Coturnix japonica: one gene and its partners. Each later gene encodes a partner of the first gene's protein in a complex. Links are inferred from orthologs where the notes say so. Each region holds a gene or a part of one and is shown on either strand. Other genes may lie near its edges. The genes, in order: F2, FGG, THBD, FGA and SERPINC1.

Region 1 (4,140 bases):
TTGCTGGAGAAAAGCTGGGATGTAGTGCTGAGACATACCACATACTGGAATGGGACACTCCTCCCGTTCCACTGTTGGGTCTCGTGTGTAGCACCACGGACCTCTTGAGTTGTTGTCTGGGTTCCTGCAGTAGTTCTCAATGAGGTTGGGATAATTGGAGGCGTTGAATCTGTGAGGAAAGGGTGGTTAGGCTATGAAGGAAAGGCACCCTGGAGAACACTGCAGGGGAAAGCAAGAGATGAACTTACTTAGGTATATGTGGATATTTGCTTGTCCACACTTGACATTCAATGCCCGATTTGGTGTAGCTAATTGTCCCCCGATAGTTCTGGCCCAGATTAACAGCACAGTTACCTGTCAAAATCCCCAAACAGGTGAGCCTGGGTCAGTGGAATGGATGTTGTATTTTTCAGTGTCAGAAGTACCACAGATTCCTTTAACTTTGTGGATGTGTGTGAGCCTGCACAACCATGGGCATTCTTTTTGTAAGATGGGAAGAGCACATCACTTAAACTTGCTCTGCCTTATCAGATGGAGCTCTCCCCGAAGCTCTGTGCTTTGCTTTGGCTATAAGGCACAGGCTAGAGAAGTTGGCCTCTGAGAGGCCAGTCTAACCTGGAGCTATACTCAAGACCACATTACTTTGTCACAGGGATAAGGGTATCTACCCTATGCCATTTCAATGGAGGAGTAAGGCAGTTTGTAAAATAGATAATGGAGAAATAAAGAACAAGAAAGGCATTTAAAACTCCCCTTGTTATTTTTCTTTCTTGCCAACTTTAGATTATTTTTGTTTTTCCTTCCAAAATCTGCATGAAGCAAATTCCTGGCACTCAACGTATCTGGGATCTTAAGATCTACATTCACTTCTTACCTTCTAGACAAGCATCCAGAGTTGTCCTAGGCATCTTTGTGCCCTGACATACTTGCAAAATAAGAAGAAAGAAGCACGTTACATGAAAGAATCTAAACAAGCATCATGGTTTGAACCAGATTATCATCTAGGGACAAAACACAAGTGTTTTTCTTGGTGAGTGAGCTCTTTTAAGAGGGTAGGGAGCCATTCCTCCAGGATGGGTTATGGAGGAACTTGAAGCAACGTACCTTGGTATTTTGCCCAAAATGCATCCTGTAAAAGCAGAGAAACAGAAAAATCACCGTAAATATCGAGGAGTAGAGATCAGCAGCACATCAGTTTCAGCTCAAAGAGGCTTGAGGCACCTGCGCTCAAAATTTGTTTGCTGTCAGCTGTTCTTTCAGTGTCTGGGCCTGTGGCTGTTGAAATGTGTGTGGCACCATAGTGAACTAGTAGATGAAGATGAAATTCTTATCTAATGGGGTTGAGGGAAGGCTCTGTTTTATTTCATTTCACGCTTAAAATAGAGAGGGAGGAAAAAGAATTTGAGATTTGTGGTGCGTTTCCAAGAGTGGCTTTAGGAGGGAATTTCCCTAAGGATATCTTGTCTCCCCCTGGGTGACAGGCACAATAGCTTTCCATCTATAGCACAAAATTGTCTGTTATGATCCCAGCCCCTGGCTGTCTGTGACCCACGTGTCTCACGGCAGGAGCTGGCTGCAGGACACCGATGTGGCCTGTGACGTACCGTGTCAACAGTGGATTCAAGGGCTTCAAAGGCCTCTTCGTAATTGCATGTCTCCTCCAGGCACTCTCGCTCCAGGTTTCCTTTCATCATCTCTTCCAGAAATCCCTTGTTGGCACGTCGTGGACGCTTGAGCAGTGACAGTGCCCGCCCCTTTTCCAGGAAAACTACCGAGTCAGAACACTGCCAGTCAAAGGGATGCTCATGGTGGGAGGGTCCCTGTGTCTCGAAGTTTTCACTCAGCTGGTGTAATGCTCCCACAGCCCAGCCTCCCCAGCTCACCGTACAGATAAGGGAAGCTTTGTCAAGGACCTGTGAGGTCCACAGCTGATGGTCAGAGCAGCCTCACTATAATTCATCTGTCAGTATTGGCTTCGTCCAGGTCACAGAAGTGACAAGAATCTTCTGCTATCCTTGGCAAATCTGCTCTGCTAGTTTGTTTGTTTGCTTGGAGCTTGCTACTGCTGTCTGTCAACCACTGAATTTCTATCTTGCCAATTTCAGACTACTGCAATAGGCATAGGTAAAGTCAATCTTCATCTTCACAGGCCCTGATCTGAGACCTGTGACAGGTCTTGCCCCACACAGCAGTGGGATAGAAAGGACCCGAACTCATATTAAAAACAAGTAGATGAAGTAGAGGCTCTAGTAAAAGAAAAAGGAGCAGTAAGCAGGAAGGCTGCGTACTGTGTATGACCTAAACTTCAGATAAAGGATGGCTGGAGAGGCAATGCAGAGTTGCAGCCAGTGGGGTGAGCTGAGGAACTAACAAGCCCCACAGCTGTGCTACACGGGGTCTTGTTCTGAGCCACATTCTCCTCCACCATCAGTCAGGTGACCTGTGAAATCCACTGGGCTGTTGTCACAGCTTTCCCTGCCAGCTGCTGGGTGCTGCTGCATCCTCCTGGGCAGGGAAGCAAAATACTCACTCTCCTCTCTGCACCCTTTCACTCCCAGTTACAGGCTTTTAGAATCTCCTTCTGCACTACCTGGAAAACCCTCTACAGGCTTTACCACCCGAAGGAATTAAGCCCATCCTCCTTCCTTAATCACCCAGTACTGCCCATCTCCCTGTGTTCTTACCTCCATCGTGGCTCAAGGTGAGGTGCAGGAGGCTGAAAAGGAGCAGGCCCTGCAGCATAGTGGCTTTGCTATGCACCATGCTGCACAGCCCTGGCTGCAGAGGAAATGCAAAGGGAGCAGAATAAGTGGAGTCACAGCCCTGCTGGGTTAATATTAAACCAGAATGAAGAAACAGGACTCCAGAGGTCATGGTGTGTCAGGGACAGCAGGACTGAGGCTCCTCTTATCCCTTCTCTCTTGGCATCTTTCCCTCCCTCTGGGGCATTTTCATTTTCATACTTAATTAGTGGAAACCAAACTGAATGTCTTTGGACACTCCGCCACACTCCAGATTAAAATTAGCATCCCAGTGTATAACATGGCATGAGGATTAAGAGGATACGTTTGTACCAGGGCACAGGGAGAGCTTGGGCTGGTAGAGAGGTCCCTGCCAGCTGCCCCAACCCAAGCAGCTCGCTGCTGCTCTCTGTGTCACCCTGCTCTCCTGCAGCTCTTGGCATGACTGCTGCGTCCCCATCATCAGGGCTTGGTTCCCTGCTGCAAAATCTTCTTGGATGCTGTACTCTAGCAGCCTCACATGTAGCAAGACTTGGAGATCTCCTTAGCCATTCCCAGTCCTCCTCCTGTTTTTAGTTGCAAGTTCCATCCCTTTCCCCCATAGAGTCCAGCTGTCTTCTCTCCCCACAGTTATCAGCAGGTTCAGTCTGTTATTTGGCACGAGAACACACAATTTAAGTTTCTTCCATCTCCCTCACCCATGCCAAGTAGCAGAAGGGGTGCTGGCTGCAGTCTCTGTGGATTTTCAGTTTTCCTCCCAGTTAGGTCAGTAATGCCATCCTCAGTGTATACTTCCCGTGGCATTATAATTCCCAGCGGGGTGGAGGAGGGTGAAGTAGTTTGAAGTCTGGTCTCTCCCTTCTCTTCCCACGCCAGTGGAACACATTAAAGTACATCCAGAAGGAAACAGAAGCTGACAAGCAAGCAGCAAGCACACCAGAAACAGGCAGAAAAACAAAGGCTTGTGGGAACAGGAAGGCAAGAGTTATATGGGTGCCACAACATCAGCTAACAAGCAAGTCAAGAGTTGAACTACCACAGCTGCGAATGCTGTAGTGATTCCTACATGCAGAAAGTTGGAATGGTGAGAGAACAGCAGAAAACAGGGCAGGGTTGGAGTAGGCTCAGAGGCTGCTACAGGGCATAAATGTGGTTTCTCCCAGCAGAGAGCATGTTTTGTTCTGTGCCTCTGTGCAGCAGATACAACTGTAATGTTTGTCTCCATAGAAGGAGTGCAAATATTAGCATTAGGGTGGCTCAGGAATGACTCTGTGGCCGTTGGTACAAAGAGCAGTTGCAGAGGCTCCCGCCCTCATCTAACAGGAGTATCCCTACTCTCGCCCACCACACCTGGATTCTGGAAAGACACCTTTGGGAAAAGCCAGAATGACCTGTGTGT
Region 2 (2,752 bases), on another chromosome or scaffold:
AACATAATTAACACTACAATTTTATTTTATTTTTTGGTCTGAAAATGATGCTGAAAACATTAAAATAAGAAGTTAATGAACGTAGTATTCAGGTGTAATCCTTGTACACTGTAGTACTATGTGCTATATAGGAAGCCAAACATGTATTCTGAATAATATTTGAGAAACCAATATGCATGCTTTGGAGTAAAATATCTTTGTCACTGATAGTATACTTCCTAACCTGTGGTATGCTTGCTTAAGTGGCTTCAGCAGTAAACTAGATCCCTTTCAAGTTGCTGTGTACTTTGATCTGTGTCACAAATTGACAATTTCATCAGAAAACAAAGTGAAGGCTGTTGAAAGCTAACCATGTTTTATGGAGAAATAGCTCCAACTCACACTTCTGAATAAAGAGAAAGAATAACTGAACCAGATTTGATCAGAGTACCCTTCCAGCAGTCACAGTGTTTAGTGTGTTGTGTTTGGTTAACAGTAGAACACAAATAGCAAGCTCAGCCTTTCTGTAATAATCAAAAATTTATTGGGGATGTGTACAGAAAAAAATAACCATATAAAGCGGTAAGCACTGCTCAAGGAAAACCGTTGGGCATTTTATAGTCAATGATATCTTACAACACTGATGTCCAAACTGAGGAAGGTGAGATAAGTTCAGTGTCACACAAATAAAAGATTTGTTTTCAGATCAATCTTTACTAAATTGTCCCTTTATGAGTCTCCAACCTGCAACAGAAAAAGAAGAAAAAAAGACAGTATTTCAGTGTTCTTCTAAGGAAAGATGAAGAACATAAGACTTGATAATTATATGTTGATAGTGTTTACGCATAATTATACTAATTGGAAATTTAAAATTCAGCAATTAAAACAAATGAAGACAAAGAATTATTTTTAGTCCTGGGATGATCTACTTATCTATTTGTTAAGAGAAACAATGAAGAGGAAGGTATAACTAAAATCAAAACGCAAATATTTCTGTGACAAAATGGTAAACAAAGCTGATGCCTCTAAGATGCAGTAGGCATAACATTTCAGCTGTCCATGCTCTGTACTTGCAATTATAACCAGATTTTATTGCTATTTTAAATATCTCCTCTGTCCAATGATCAAACCTGCTTGAGGCCTCCTGAGTGTTGCTGTCCATCTATTGAGAGTCTGTTGAATGGGATGATTTTCATTGTAGTTTTCTTCATGGAGTACCATCGGTCACGCCATGTTGCCCATATAATGCCATTGTCATATGAATCTGGGTCACCATCTCTAGCTGAGTACACACCACCTAAAAATATCAATTTGAGAAAAACATTCAGTTGTTTCTACATGATTAATGTGACCATCCCATTTGTAGTTGTGGTATCAACACCTCTATGGCATCCCTGGTCACACTAACAGGCTGCACACAGTGCTGCTCTCCCTCTCTTTGTTTCTATCAGAACCAAGGATTCCATTCTGGGCTGGAGAACTGCCATAAACAGGTGTTAATATAAACAGTCATTGAAAAGAATGGACCACATCAGCTTTGGAAAAAACAGGTGGCAAAATATACTCAATGTCATTGAAATGTGGTGTACTTGGTTACATTTGTCCATGTGAAAATAGGTACTTAGAAGATATTTTACCTATATAATATTTTCCATTGAGGTGACCAGCGTGGCATCTGTTCATCCACCATCCAGATCCATCTTGCTCAGCACAGTTGCCCTCAAATTTGTCATTGTCATTATCGTAGGTGCTGAAGCGCATGCCATTATGGTAGGTAAAGGATTTGTCACTTGGATCATCTCCAAAATTAAAGCCATCAAAGGCATCTCCAGCATCACCACCAATAAAGTAGGCATAGGTCAATCTGTACTTGTCTTCTTCAGATCCCACTTTGAATACCGCATAGTCAGCAGTGCTATTAACAGAGGATAATAGTGAGTATAAGCATGCTGCATTCCTAGTATGTTCACAAATGAAATATACACAGATATTAGAACAGCAGAAAAGGGATTTAGAGCATCCTAGCATGTAATTTTGTAAAAGGACTATTGTTAAATGATTGTGCACTGGTTCAGTGACAGATATCCAATTTTTGTCATCCACCATTAGATGTATTTTTTGACTCTACTGTTCTTCAGTGATGCACAGAAGACCTACATTATACACCTACATATGTGTTTATCTCCCAAGTTGCTACAGCTTAGGCTTACTCGTGTCATGAGGAAGTTCTTGGTGGGAGGAAGAAATAGGTATCTCAAGAAATAGGAAAGGTAGTAAGCCCTCCTGGAGGACTGAAGACATAAGTGAAGAAACTTTGAAAAGAAGAAACAGATCTATTCTGCCAAATCAACTACGGTTTCTGGCTTGTGGCCTTCAGACATGTACACATGAGGGCTGCTGCCACAGTTGTGAGTTCATAGAATCATAGAATCACCAAGGTTGGAAAAGACCTAAAAGATCACCCAGCCCAACCATTGAGCCCACGTGGCATCTTATGCATCTTGACACACCTAGTAGTGCCATGCTTTTTTTAAATCTGTACAAACTAAAACTACTAGAAAAAGCAGTAGGCTTTAAGATGCCATTTTCAGAGGCTTCATGAACAAATACCCTTTATTGCCGGACCAGTCCTCCAGCTCTATTCGTAAGGTGTATGGCAGAGTGGACTGCGTAGTTATTAAATGAATCTTTTCATTGCCCAGCCAAAATTCTGTGGTGTCATCTGGAGACAGATGTCCAAATCCTTCCTTGTACTGAACCCAGTTTCTCCGGA
Region 3 (4,304 bases), on another chromosome or scaffold:
CCGCAGCCTCCCAGGAGCAACAGGAATTGCTCAGGGCTGGCAGAGGGCACATCAGGCTGGAGGGTGTAATAAAGTCACCTCCTCGCAAGGAGTGGAGTGAAGCAGCATGGATTTGCTTCTCTGCAGAGGATCCCGAGGGCTAATTGCTGCCGCTGAGCCTTCCAAGTAGAAAACATCCCTCACTAAATTGAAAAGAAGGGTCAAATGCCCTTTTCCTTGAGTGGCGAAGCTTTAGATGTTTGCTTTTCATTTTTATTTTGCTCTCGGCCATGTTCTGATAGGAGAGGTGGATCCCGCTAGGATAAAAGCACGGATGGGGCCAAGCTGTCATAAAACCATGAGCAGGAGGCGGCCTCCAACTCCTTCCCCTGGAGAGCCACGTGATTGTTTTTAATTCCAAACCCACCTGACTTTCTTTAATTCCAAGCCCTGTTCCGTGCGTAGCCGCTGCCATGCAGAGCACAGCGGATGTTCTTCTGCCCTCTCACCTCAAATCTCCTGGCCTTGCAAACTTGCAAAGGAAGCTCGCAAAGGGATTGCCGCTCACCCCTGCTGACATCGAGCCCCACAAGTGCAAGGAAGCGCTGTCCCGAGTCCCCCGCTAACAAAAAGCTGCGAAACCCCGAATAGCTTATGGACCTACTTTCCCCTTTCGCACAAAAAAACCTCGGTTTCTTCTCAAAAAGCGACCCGAGCACTGTCCGTCCCCCCGGCGCTGCCACCTGCCGCCTGCGGTTGGGATCGCACAGCCGTGCCGAGGGGTCCCGCTGTTACTCGGCATCCTCTCCCTGAAGCTGCCGGGCTGCTCCGGGCCACCCCCACGGCCGCCACTCTCAGGCAGGAAGCAGCACCTCACCCACTGCCCTCCCGTGCCGCCACCCCTGTCTCCTGCCTGTCCCGGAGGGTCCAGCAGCAGCTTCAGCTCTCCCGCGATTGCCTTCTGTTCTCCTTCTTATGATGTCCCCCTCTCCCCCTTCTCCTCGTTCTATCCCCCCCATCCCCCCTTTCTCTCTCTCCCTCCTCTCCTCTCCTCTCCTCTCCTCTCCTCTCCTCTCCTCTCCTCTCCTCTCCTCTCCTCTCCCTCCTCTTCTCTCCTCTCCTCTCCTTCCTCTCCTCCTCTCCTCTCCTCTCCTCTCCTTCCCCTCCTCTCCTCTCCTCTCCTCTCCTCTCCTCTCCTCTCCCTGCCTCTCCTCTCCTCTCCTCTCCTCTCCTCTCCTCTCTCTCCTCTCTCCTCCTCCTCTCCTCCTCCTCCTCTCCTCCTCCCCTCTCCCTTCCCCTCATATTTCCTTTTTTTTCCCTTTCCTTTTAGTTTTTCTTTCCTTTCCTTCCACCCTCTCTTTTCTTATTTTCACTTATTTTCTTTCTTTTTTCTTTTAAATCTATCTCCACTCTTCTACTGTTTTTCTTTTCTCCTCTCTCCCCTCCCTTATCCCCGCCTCCTTTCCTTCTACTCTCCCCACAACTCCCCCCTCCTCACCTCTCCCCTCCTCCCTTTCCCTCCCGCATCCCCGAAGGGGCGGCCGTCTCTCCCCTTCCCTGCCGCGGTCACGCCCGGCCGGGCCCGGCCCAGCCCAGCAGCACCTCCCGACTCGCGGGGATTTCCTCCGCGCCGGAGCCGCCCCCGCCGCAATCCCTCCCGGCCCGGCGGCGGCCCGTCCCCGGAGGCGCTTCCTTCCTGCGGCCGGAGCTCTATAAAGCGGCCGCCCTGGTCGGCGGCATGACAGAGATTCGCCGCGCCGGCCGCCCGCCATGCGGCGGCTCCCGCTGCCGCTGCTGTTGGCCGGACTGGGGCTGGGGCTGGGGCTGGGACTCGGCGAGCTGGAGCCGCCCGTCCCGTCGGGGGCGCAGTGCCTGGAGCACGACTGCTTCGCCGTCTTCTGGACTCCGGGGTCCTTCGCGGCTGCCAGCGCGGCCTGCGAGCGGCACGGCGGCCACCTGATGACCGTGCGCTCCACGGTGGCAGAGGATGCGATCGGGCTGCTGCTGCGGAACCGCGGCGGGCGGCTGTGGCTGGGGCTGCGGCTGCCCACCCCGTGCACCGAGCCGGAGCGGAGGCTGCGCGGCTTCCAGTGGGTGACCGGAGACACCCGCACCGACTACGACAACTGGGCGCCGTCGGGGCGGCGTTGCGGGCAGCTGTGCGTGGCGGTGTCCCGGGAGCTGAGCTGGGAGGAGCGGCGCTGCGAGGAGCCGGCCGACGGCTTCCTCTGCGAGTACAACTACCCCGACAGCTGCCCCCGCCTGCCGGCCGCCGACGGCGCGTCCCTCACCTACCGCACTCCCTTCGGCGCCGCCGGCGGCGACTTCCTGGCCCTGCCGCCCGGCTCCACCGCGTTCGTCTCTCCGATGGGGCTGCAGCTGCTCTGCGAGGCTGCGGCCGTCGGAGGGAGGACGAGGTGGGGCCGCTCCGAGCCGGGCGCCTGGCCGTGCCGCCTGTCTAACGGCGGCTGCGAGGGAAGCTGCGAAGAACTGGATGGGACTCCGCGCTGCTCCTGCCCCACCGGCAAAAAGCTCGGCCCCGACGGGCGCGGCTGCCTGTCTCCATGCGCCGGTGCTCCCTGCGAGCAACACTGCGTGCCCGACGGGGAGAGCTTCCACTGCATGTGCTCCGAGGGCTACCAGCTGGGCCCCGACGGCAGCAGCTGCCAGGACGTGGATGACTGCGTCAAGGTGCCCGAGGTGTGCGAGCAGGTCTGTCACAACACCGAGGGCGGCTTCGAGTGCCTCTGCCACCGTGGCTACGAGATGGTGGAAGGGCACTGCATGCCCGTCCCCAACTGCAGCACTGGCCCCTGCGACCACATCTGCGAGGACGTGCCCGGCAGTTACCGCTGCAGCTGTGATGACGGCTATGTTGTCGACCTGAAGAATCCCACCCAGTGTGTGAGGCAATGTGAGGATGGCAGATGTCTGGCTGAGTGCGATGCCACCGGCCTCTCCTGTGTTTGCCCCGATGGCTTTGTGACAGACCACCTGCCTGATGGTGTCACACTCTGCGTTGACATCGATGAGTGCGAGAATAACTACTGCGACCACAACTGCACCAACACGCCCGGCAGCTACACGTGCCACTGCCAACCTGGCTATGTGCTCGTTGATGTCAACGACTGCAAACCCATCTCAATGGAGGACAACGTGGATGAGTACTCAGGAGATTCTGGGCCCTCCCTGCCCTTCCCCAGCCGTGTCCCACCCAAGGCAGAGCACCTGCACCCTGGGGCTCTGGTGGGCATCACAGTGGGCGTGCTGTGTGGGGCTCTGGTGCTGCTGGCTGTCGGCTACCACCTGGCAAGGAAGCGCTGCCAACCCCCCAGCTCTATGGAGTACAAGTGTGGCAGCCCCCGTGAGAAGGAGATGGGGCTCCAGCAGGTGTCCGCCAGCCAGAAGGTGTAGGGAGCCTGGCGATGCACAGGAGACGGATGGAACTGGGTAACGTTTGGTTGTAACCCCCCTGGTTTTGTAAAGAGAAAGCAAGGAAAGCAGTTCGTGTCATTGGCTTCTTGTGTTTCCCGTGTCTGTTGCATACGGACCTCTGGCAGCGGAGCACTCAGATTGCCAGCAGTGCAGGGACCCCGTGGAGCTCACCGTGGTGGGGTTAAAGTGCTGATTTCTTTCCCCTCCCACCATTTGGGGACTGTTTGGGGGTGCAGTGGGTATTACAGGAGCACTGGGGTCATTTGTAGGAAGGGCATTTCCAGTGCTGGTGATACTGTGCCTTTTTCCTCTTGTGTTTTTCCTTTATATTTTTCATCCTTTTTAAATTTTTTCATCCAGGGATGAGTTGAATTTGTGTGGATGTTGAAGGCAAAACTTCCTGGTGATGTTTGTGTTCCGGACCTTGCTGCTTGCTTTGCAGGTGTGGGCTGGAGGGTAAATGGGGTGGGAAAGAAGAGTTGGAGGGGGGAAGATCCCTGAAGCAGCCCCCGAGGCTGTCAGTGCTGAGGGTCTGTGCCCGAGTAGGGGCAGCTGCCACAGTGCCAAGCTTTTCAGATGGGATTTTGGGCTTGGAGCTGAGGTTTGTCTGTGCCCCTCAGGCACAGAGCAATGCAGCAGCCCCTGAGATGAACGCCAGCTCCACACTGCCCCAGTTGTCGCTTTCCTGATGTAAATGGTTGAACCCACTGTTTTATACACCCAGCACATGTGTAAATACTTATTTATTTATTGGAAATATACCCTACGCCACGCGCAATCACCTCGTGATGTTGTGTGCAGACCAATAAAGCTTTTACTGTCTGATTTATAGAAACCTGGGAACGAGCTGTTCTTCCTGCCCTCCCTACAGCCTGACCCCCCCCTCACCC
Region 4 (4,178 bases), on another chromosome or scaffold:
TGTGACTGTTATCCTGGTCTGTGTCATCAATTAATCCTTGCATTCTGCAGCCTGATGGACATTTTATACCCTAAAAGAGGAAGAGAAATAATTGTGCTAAAATCTTCATGAATCTGTCTTTTTGTTTTTTAAATCAATACCCAGCAATTAAAACACTCTAATATGACTTAGGGCAGTATTATGTGACTTCTTCTGTCCTATCCATCCAATGACTTTGACAAGGGCTTGTATGACTTGGAGCAGGACACCTCACGGCTGACCCCTTCACATCTTGCACCTCTGACACTGGTGCATTGGAATTGCTGAAATGTATGCATAGAATCCTGTTTCAAGTGGTGACAAAGGAACCTTTAATTTTCACTTTCCTCTGTTCCTTAAGAGTAGAAACAAAATTAAACAAAACAAAAAATAACAATAACAATATTAATAACAACAATAATAAAAGCAAAACAATAATCTCACCACATTTATTTCCCAAAGGGCTGCTGTAAAGGGAAGTTAGATCCAGCTTGATCAAGGGTGACCTAGGCTCATTCATTTAAGCAGAATTATCCTCAGAAAATCCCCTGCTCTTATACGTTATAACTCTTAGGCAAGATTGCATCTTCTAAATGTAGCATAGATATGAGTTGAGATGCAGGAGGCAAGAGAGAGACAAACCAACAGTTCATACACAGACATTCAGTCAGCCATTGGGAAGCTTTTACTGAACATCTTGTCATCAGACCTCCTAAACCAAGGGCAGGGGTCCTTGTGTGCCCTGCTGTCCCTATGGCTCATTGCTCACCCAGTCATCGTCCGCACAGATCGGCCAGTTCTTCTCATACTTGCAGGAGGACTGTTGCATGTGCTCCACAATCCTGGGGCCACGCACACCTGCTCCCTCCTTTTCAAAGGTGGTCTCCCCATCCTGAGCCTGCCGGGAGGAGTAAAGAGAAGAGCAAAACTGAGAGTGTTGGAGCACTGGTCAAGAAAATGGAAATGAAAAGCTGACATCCTCAAGCACTCAGTAGCACTGCAGCCTTGTGGAATGCATCATCCAATAGTGGCAAGGCGTTTCTTGTAAGACATGGTTTTGTTTGTTTTGTAAGAATAAAGCTTTTCCACTCTTAAAATTAATGCTCATATGGAGAATGGATGGTGCTTAGAGTATGATGATAATGATGATATCTTTACAAGATAATCCTGAGCTTTGTATGTAAATGCAAAATTAGCTTGAAATTAGATTGAAGTTACTTAAGTTAACTTTGAAACATCTTCATTCCATTTTCACTTGCTTTCATATTCTTAAATTTTTGTTTTCATCCTATTCCTTCTGCCTACTCAAAACTGGCTTGAAGATATGCATGAATTTACTATTTCCATTCATTAGTGTTTCTGTTTTTAGTCCTATAAGCTCCTAGCACTGTTTTGCCTGACATAAAGAACAAGAATACTAATAGCATTGTAATGAAAATAATAATGTCAGTGATGGATGGTTTGCACTTTGTTAATGGAAGGAACAGAAATAAATGAACTGAGATTTTTCTTGAAATCTGAGAAACCAAAGTGCAATTATACCAGCTAATTCTAAACCAACATGCTGTAAGGATTCTTACTGCATTATTGCTTAGTAAAGAACTGGAAAATAATTCTTTTTCATAAAATGTAAAGGAGATTGCTTGAGATCTAATTAGGTCTGCCTAGGTTTTTCTTCATATGCATTACGTTCTTAACAAACAGTATAATTCATGCCAAAAAAGATGTATGATTAATTCACATGCAGAGAGAGTGTTCCTAATTACAGCCTTCAGAGCCAGAACCTCAGCCCTGTGGAACTGGAATGTCATTATTTAACTCAGCAGTTTCACATTGGTTCAATTCATCTTGGCCAAAGAGTCCCCTAAAATAACAAATAAAATATTTAATTTTAGGTCGTCTGTGCCCTTTAAGCACTGGCAGCTCCGGCAGAACTGCTTGTGTTTAGCCAGATCTGCTCCCCATAATTTCTGCAATTTGTGAGAGCATTTACTTTCTTCAAAATACAGTCGTAAAGAAGACTAACATGAGATTAATGGCTGAAACATAAGTGAAAAAATGTCAAGGATATGTTAGTATAGTTGAAAATTATGATTATCACTTTCCTCATCTAAAAATTTCTTCTTGCTTATCTTAGGTAATAAATGTTTCATTATGTGTTGCAATATAATAGACCATAATCTATTGTCATCTTGCTTGCATTCTAGTTTAATTTGATGTTGCTGCCATAAGAATCACTGTTTTCAAATCGGAATTTCATAATAAAGCCATTGTGCATCATTTGTAGCTAGAAAGTGCAGTTGAAGCAAACTGAGGAAGTAGAAAAGGAAAGTAGAATTAAAATAAACTTGAAAATTCCTGACTGTCTGGAGCCTCCAGCATCCAATTCAGCCAGCTTTAAGGCTCACAGCAGCACCTGTGAATCTATGAATTCGTGTTATTTGCTTTGCAGAAGGCAGGCGGGTACAACAAGACTGAATTAATCAAAACAGAACTGGATATACAAGAACTGCTGTCATGAAAGAGCAGCAGTGAAGTAGTCACACTAGGCTTGTGCGTATGTGTGTGCACTGAATTTGACAAGATAGGTGCCAGCAAACATGCATCTAATTCATGCAGATTAAATAAACTCTTACTCTTCAAATCAGCAAGGTAAGGAAATAATGAAGTAAGGAAACTCATACCCAAGCTAAGTTGAGGCAGAGCAACACACAGAGTATCTTCACTGGTATCATCTTCGGAGAAGAGCGAGCAGAACTGTGGATGAGAGGATTCTCTCCTCTGGTCTTTTTGATGCAATTTAAACCTTGCTGAAGAGCAGAGATTAATCATTATTCTCCCTTCTGTTTGGAGACAAAACATGTCAAATGTCCTGAGTCGATTACATAAGGCCTCTTGCACAAGTTTCTGGTGTTATTTGCTCCAGATAAATTTGTACAGCACCACCATGAGGGCAACACCATGTATTCCAGGAAAGAAAAAAAAAAGCATATCAGCTTCAAGCTTGATTTCTTGTAAATTGTTGTTCATCTAGGGTGTATGTGGGTCCTAGCAGGAGCCAGCAATACTTAACTAATGGAAAACACATGTTGTGTGGCGGGAATTTAGCGAATACAATCAGGCAGTTGATATTTGAAAAAAAAAAAAGGCATTGCCCTTTCTTTGAAGCTCCATGCTCATGAAAACCATTGGGCCTTCGGAAGCAAGTACTAGTGTACTACCTTTTGTTTCCTCCCATGTCTGGCTTTGCATTGCATGCTTCTCTTGTCTCCGTAAACCCTCTTAAATTAGAACGGAACTCATGTAAACAACACTAACAGTGAGTTGTATTCTCAAGTTACAAGGAACAGAGCAGATCGATAGGATGGTGCTACGTTGATTTAAGTCACTGATTTACACCTACACCATCATTTGTATGACTGGAGGTTTCTGTTATATTTAAGGCAAAATCTTACCCGTGCATACTTGGAAAGAAAGTTTTTTGTTGATCTTAATTTCCTGCAGCTCCTTTTGTGAAGTGTTCTGTTGAATTCTGTGCAGTGCCACTAATACCACAATACAACAAAATAACAAAATTCTTCTCATTTCAGAAGCAGAAGAGCTCAGCTAACTTCAGCAACCCAGGTCTGAGCAGACTCCACATTATCTTTACTGTCTGAGGATCAGCCAGCCATGTCTGTTCTGTCCATAAGGAAGCTCCTGAACTCAAAGCAGACAAAAGTTACGCACATAAATGCTCCACTGCCATTCTAAGCTATCCTAGCATGTAATTTTGTAAAAGTGTTATTTTTATGATTGTGTGCATTAGTTCAATGGCACACATACATAGTCCACTGCTAATCTCAGCAGCAAGACTGAAGATGCCTTCCCAGTCCGAGTCCTGTGCAGTTTTGTTCACTCTTTTGTAATGGTGCTGTGAAAGAATTATAACAATCTTAAAGAATCATAAAAAGCTCAGACAACAATAAAATGCTTATAGGGTGAAAAGATCACAACAAGAGGAAGAATTGCAGGACTGTGATGAGTTATTTAAAAGAATAGATTTAAATGAGCTATATACAACATCTGCCAGTTTCCACAGACAGTGTCCCGTTTGCTCTAATGAGCTATAATTTGGCTTATGCAGTTGACATCAAAGTCTCTGCTTGAAGATCACAGCC
Region 5 (4,018 bases), on another chromosome or scaffold:
CAGTAGCAGCTCTGGGGAAGGCTGAGGATATGCCACTAACCTCCATGAGCTGCTGCAGGGTGTCACCGCACGCCCCGAGCTTGGTCATGGCGAAGGCTGTGGAAATGCTGAGGGGTGACAGGAAGATGTTCTCCTCGTTGTCCTTGGAATCGGCCAGGTGCTTGTAGAAGACGACGGCAAAGCGCGAGTTGGCCCTGGACAGCTCCCAGACACGGGGGTTGGTGGACCCCGGGATCCGGCCCTTCCCCGGCTCCAGCACCTCACTTTCCTGGGCCTTCTTCTCAGGGTTGCGGTAGATGCAGATGGGGTTCACTGGGATATCACGGGGCTTCGCAGTGCAAATGTCTTCCACAGCATAGCGTACAGGGGCAGCCATGCCCCAGAGGGCAAAGAGACACACAAGGAAGAGCTGCATTGTCCTGGAAACAGAGGGAGTGCTGAGTGTGCGCCCACCTGCCCGGAGAGCCCCCAGCCCAGCCAGCACTGGGGTATAGGGACCATCACAGCCCTCTCCCATCACCCTCCTGTAGTGCAGCTGTGGGATGGACCGGGACAGCCCCAGCAGAGCAGCACAGCTCTGAGCACACCCTGCTTTTAGAAACAGCACAATGAAAACAGTGCTTTCCCAGAGCCACGGGTGTCCTTTCTTTAAGCAGCCCTGACAAACTGGTGCAAAAACACATAGATCAAAGCTCTGATCACTCTATGGGGAAGCTGCCAAAGTCCGCTCTGCTCTGCAGTCACGTTTTTGCTTTGTACAGACCCTGCCCTGCTCTCTCTCCTGGGAAAGCACTCCATGCCCCAAGCCCTGCAGCGGAGAGCCCTCAGACAGTGCTTTAGATGGTTTCCTTCCCCTTTTCCTGGGGGAACCTCCTTCTCCAGTTCTGTTTCCTTCCTTCCCTTGAGCTCTTCTGCCATTTCAGTTTCCAGCTGTGATTTCAGGCCCACCTCAGCCTTGCCCTGTTCTAACTGCTGATGCAGGAAGCTCAAACAGGGGATGTAGATCCCCACCAGCCCCAGCAGCACATTACTGGCCACCCTAGGGCTGATCAGCACTGCAGCACAGAGATGCCCTCTGTGTGACTCCCAGTGGGTTTGCTCATGTCCCCATGGCTCCTCTGGGGGCAGGGAGGGTGTGAGACTCCATGTGCCCACCGCTGCTGTCACCTTGTGCTGCCCCATCAGTGCGGAAATGGAAGGTTTCTTTTAATGACCGCCAGAGCTGCCAGCATCCAGCAGGGCAGCACAGAGCAATGTGGGGAGCTCTGGGCTCTTTCACAACCCCCTGCCTGTACTCTTATGCAATGGCTGGATGATCTTTGAGGTCCCTTCCAACCCAGACCAGTCTGTGTCTTCATCTGGGCTGCAGCTCTTCCATGAAAGCAGAAATTACCTCATTTGGCACCAGGGCTGTACTGAGCCTGGGGGCCTTCACCAGCACAAACTGTTAGTGCAGCAGCAAGCACTGCAAGAGGACGTGTACAACAAGATGTTTTTGCTCAGAACACAGCCAGTCTGAGTGGTAAAAGCAAACACACTGTTGCAAGAAGGTGAAGGACAGATGCATGGAACAGCTGCAGCACCACAGAAGGCAAAGCCTGAAAGGGGTGGGAAGTCAAACAGACTGACCCTGAAAGCACCACAGCAGGCAGGAGGAAGGGAAGTGGGAGCACTGCAGGAAGCACCACTCTTCCCAATACCAGCTCCTGCAGGAGGGTCACCGGGCTCTCAGCCCCATCCTGCTGCACTGCACGCCCTGCGGTTGGTTGCTGAGCATCCCACAGCCCGTCCCAGCTTCAGATTTCATCCGTTTAGAGGGGATGTGGGATTTTATGCTCTTAGCCCCTTCAATCTGATATATCAGCTCCCTGGGGCCAACCCAGCCCCCCAGCATACCCAGCACAAGCACACAGCAGAAGGGGAACACAAGACCCACAGGGCTGCATGCCATACCGCTGGCTGGGAGCTGCCCTGCTCCCCCAGCAGCTCCTGGGGCCTCCCTTTCATACTGTCCACACCACACATCAGCTGGAGGGAGCCCAAAAGCATTACAGCAAATGGCTGCCTGGGAAGGGTTACTGGCAGGGAAGAGAACACTAAGGGGGAAGGGCTTGGCTGTCCTGCTTCAGTCACCCCTGTGAGAAGCACAGAAAACTAAGGAACAAGTTGCTGATTCAGCTAAAAACCAGAGGGCTCCATGCAAATGTGGGGACTCCTAATCCCACAGCCAGGCTGTGGCCAGCACAGCCCGTGTGCCCCCACTGCTTTGCGTTCGTCCTGCAACAAAGGCTGCATTCACCCCTGCTATCTGTGCATCTCTGCTGCACTCCTCTGGGCCCAGCAGCTCAATGTGATTAGGATGGACAGAAAACCCTTCCTGCTCCCCCCCCCCCAGACCAGTGCTGTTCCTACATGGGACAGGGGGGTTGGTGCTCACCACAGCATGAAGCAATGCCACAAAGAAATGAGGTGAAGCACAGCCCATCAGTGAGCTGGGCACAAATTGCTCCCTGATGGGAACTGTGATGTTTTAAGCTCCCCATGCTGTGAGCAGAAGCCCCAGATCAAGAGGAGCTGCAGTCTGGTAGCAGCCTGAATTCCTTCAACAGGCAAATGGAGCAGTGGGTTCAGTTAAAAATGAAGCATTAGTGGAAATAGTTTCTCTTACCCAGCCTGGTGCCTCCAGCCTCCTGTGTTCTGGATGCAAATGCAGATTCCCCAGGAGGACAGGAGTGCTCAAGACCCACACACACAGAGCAGCTCCACACTGGGCTCCCGTGCTCCAGCAGCAGGCAGGTTGGGGGCAGGATGCTGGGGCCAAAGGCTGATGACCGCTGCAGAAGGTTAAACAAAGAGCAGGAAAACAAAAAAGCAATGTTTGGCTTGAAAGAGGTTTTAAAGTTCAATCTGACAAGGGAAAGTTTGACCACCTACCCCTTAGAAACGCTGGGTGCCTTCCTTCTTTGCCAATAAAATAATTAGCCACTCATGAAAAAGCTCAGGAGCAGCACTTGTGGTCCTTGGCTGCAGAGGAGGGCCTGCAAAGCAGGGCTGGGTTACAGCCCACGGCCATAAGTACCACCTGAAAACTGGCTGTGCCCAACACATCAGTCTTGCACATGTTGTTCTTGCTCTCACCCATCCTACAGCAGGGCTGTCTTTGGACAAAGTGAGCACAGAAGTCACACTGTGACCTCCGAGCAGCACCCAGCAATGCAAAGCAGCCAAGAACTGCAGGAGGGCATAGGAGGTGAGCTGTGTGCTGCAAGGAAGGGCTCAGCTGCGCTGCTCACTGTGCTCCCAGCAGTGCTGGTGTAATCGCCGAGGTGAGACGTGCTCACAGCCCTGGGACCTTCAGAAGGAATCAGATGCTCTCTGCTCCCAGCCAAGTGTGCTGTATCCAAGCAGGGGCTCTTCATCTGGTGCTGCGGGGCAGCTCGATGCCACATGGAATGGGAGCAGGCACCCACTGTGTTCTGCACATCCCACACAGCTCAAGCTGTGGGAATTAAGTCTCAGCAGTGTGATGAGGCACAGCAGCACTGCAGCTCACTGCAAGCAGGCAGAATGCCTAGAACAGAGCATGGGAACACCTCCTTTACCATGATAGCCCTATTAAAGGCAAGGCTAATTGCAAAATGAAAGAAGATGGCAAGCTGGGGACTTCCTCTAAGTATTTATTCCCAAACCCAGCGTAGCGCCAAAGGGACCCATCAGCTGCCCAAACCAAACCCCATGGGAGAGCTGATAAATACCTATCTTAAGTGCAGTAGGTAAGTGGCAATTTATTGCTGGTCCAGATCAAACCAACAACCCAGAGCTGATGGCTGGGCAGAGCCATCCCTGAGGAGGCCAGAGGAAAAAAAATGGCAGGTTTCCCCAAACTCCCCATTCGGCTCCTTCAGCCAGACTGCAGCAATTCACATCTCTTTTAGCAGCCAACCTTGACAGAAGTTCAAGTTGGTTTTAAGTGTAGCTGAGCATCCTGGAGCCCTCACACCAGTGCAGAAAATGGGAA

What was found.
Region 2: the proteins of F2 (region 1) and FGG are in contact, whole or in part, in a crystal structure (PDB 2HWL), measured with the Homo sapiens proteins. The link is inferred for Coturnix japonica from reciprocal best matches to the Homo sapiens genes F2 and FGG. Residues at the interface, in NP_000497.1 of Homo sapiens: His450, Pro451, Arg452, Arg461, Arg486, Ala489, Ala490, Leu493, Ile530, Val531, Glu532, Arg533, Cys536, Asp546, Asn547, Met548, Phe549, Cys550, His605, Phe607, Arg608, Leu609, Lys610, Lys611, Trp612, Lys615; in NP_068656.2 of Homo sapiens: Pro439, Ala440, Glu441, Thr442, Glu443, Tyr444, Asp445, Ser446, Leu447, Tyr448.
Region 3: the proteins of F2 (region 1) and THBD are in contact, whole or in part, in a crystal structure (PDB 1DX5), measured with the Homo sapiens proteins. The link is inferred for Coturnix japonica from reciprocal best matches to the Homo sapiens genes F2 and THBD. Residues at the interface, in NP_000497.1 of Homo sapiens: Phe382, Ser385, Pro386, Gln387, Leu423, Arg425, Thr432, Arg433, Tyr434, Arg436, Asn437, Glu439, Lys440, Ile441, Met443, Lys470; in NP_000352.1 of Homo sapiens: Ser424, Cys425, Glu426, Cys427, Tyr431, Ile432, Leu433, Asp434, Asp435, Thr440, Asp441, Ile442, Asp443, Glu446, Asn447, Gly449, Phe450, Asp479.
Region 4: the proteins of F2 (region 1) and FGA are in contact, whole or in part, in a crystal structure (PDB 2A45), measured with the Homo sapiens proteins. The link is inferred for Coturnix japonica from reciprocal best matches to the Homo sapiens genes F2 and FGA. Residues at the interface, in NP_000497.1 of Homo sapiens: Phe382, Lys384, Ser385, Gln387, Leu423, Arg425, Tyr434, Glu439, Lys440, Ile441, Ser442, Met443, Lys470; in NP_000499.1 of Homo sapiens: Trp52, Pro53, Phe54, Cys55, Ser56, Asp57, Glu58.
Region 5: the proteins of F2 (region 1) and SERPINC1 are in contact, whole or in part, in a crystal structure (PDB 1TB6), measured with the Homo sapiens proteins. The link is inferred for Coturnix japonica from reciprocal best matches to the Homo sapiens genes F2 and SERPINC1. Residues at the interface, in NP_000497.1 of Homo sapiens: Leu389, Leu390, Cys391, His406, Cys407, Tyr410, Pro412, Trp413, Asp414, Lys415, Trp455, Arg456, Glu457, Asn458, Leu459, Asn506, Thr510, Trp511, Thr512, Ala513, Asn514, Val515, Gln519, Arg541, Ile542, Asp562, Ala563, Cys564, Glu565, Gly566; in NP_000479.1 of Homo sapiens: Lys258, Glu264, Asn265, Arg267, Tyr285, Glu287, Gly288, Lys289, Glu345, Met347, His351, Ala419, Val420, Val421, Ile422, Ala423, Gly424, Arg425, Ser426, Leu427, Asn428, Pro429, Asn430, Arg431, Val432, Lys435.

The regions. Positions count from the first base shown.
Region 1 is NC_029520.1:20,933,988-20,938,127, forward strand, and holds the start of F2 (prothrombin), read right to left. Parts: upstream 2,803-4,140; 5' UTR 2,764-2,802; coding exon 2,685-2,763; intron 1,769-2,684; coding exon 1,605-1,768; intron 1,130-1,604; coding exon 1,105-1,129; intron 926-1,104; coding exon 875-925; intron 355-874; coding exon 249-354; intron 170-248; coding exon 39-169; intron 1-38. UniProt on the Homo sapiens protein: Thrombin, which cleaves bonds after Arg and Lys, converts fibrinogen to fibrin and activates factors V, VII, VIII, XIII, and, in complex with thrombomodulin, protein C. Functions in blood homeostasis, inflammation and wound healing.
Region 2 is NC_029519.1:18,081,001-18,083,752, forward strand, and holds the end of FGG (fibrinogen gamma chain), read right to left. Parts: coding exon 2,590-2,752; intron 1,895-2,589; coding exon 1,617-1,894; intron 1,277-1,616; coding exon 1,110-1,276; intron 724-1,109; coding exon 709-723; 3' UTR 501-708; downstream 1-500. UniProt on the Homo sapiens protein: Together with fibrinogen alpha (FGA) and fibrinogen beta (FGB), polymerizes to form an insoluble fibrin matrix. Has a major function in hemostasis as one of the primary components of blood clots.
Region 3 is NC_029518.1:4,429,608-4,433,911, reverse strand, and holds THBD (thrombomodulin), read left to right. Parts: upstream 1-1,495; 5' UTR 1,496-1,749; coding exon 1,750-3,393; 3' UTR 3,394-4,249; downstream 4,250-4,304. UniProt on the Homo sapiens protein: Endothelial cell receptor that plays a critical role in regulating several physiological processes including hemostasis, coagulation, fibrinolysis, inflammation, and angiogenesis.
Region 4 is NC_029519.1:18,074,468-18,078,645, forward strand, and holds the start of FGA (fibrinogen alpha chain), read right to left. Parts: upstream 2,810-4,178; 5' UTR 2,754-2,809; coding exon 2,703-2,753; intron 917-2,702; coding exon 788-916; intron 71-787; coding exon 1-70. UniProt on the Homo sapiens protein: Cleaved by the protease thrombin to yield monomers which, together with fibrinogen beta (FGB) and fibrinogen gamma (FGG), polymerize to form an insoluble fibrin matrix. Fibrin has a major function in hemostasis as one of the primary components of blood clots.
Region 5 is NC_029523.1:4,512,224-4,516,241, forward strand, and holds the start of SERPINC1 (antithrombin-III), read right to left. Parts: upstream 2,806-4,018; 5' UTR 2,669-2,805; intron 420-2,668; 5' UTR 416-419; coding exon 41-415; intron 1-40. UniProt on the Homo sapiens protein: Most important serine protease inhibitor in plasma that regulates the blood coagulation cascade. AT-III inhibits thrombin, matriptase-3/TMPRSS7, as well as factors IXa, Xa and XIa. Its inhibitory activity is greatly enhanced in the presence of heparin.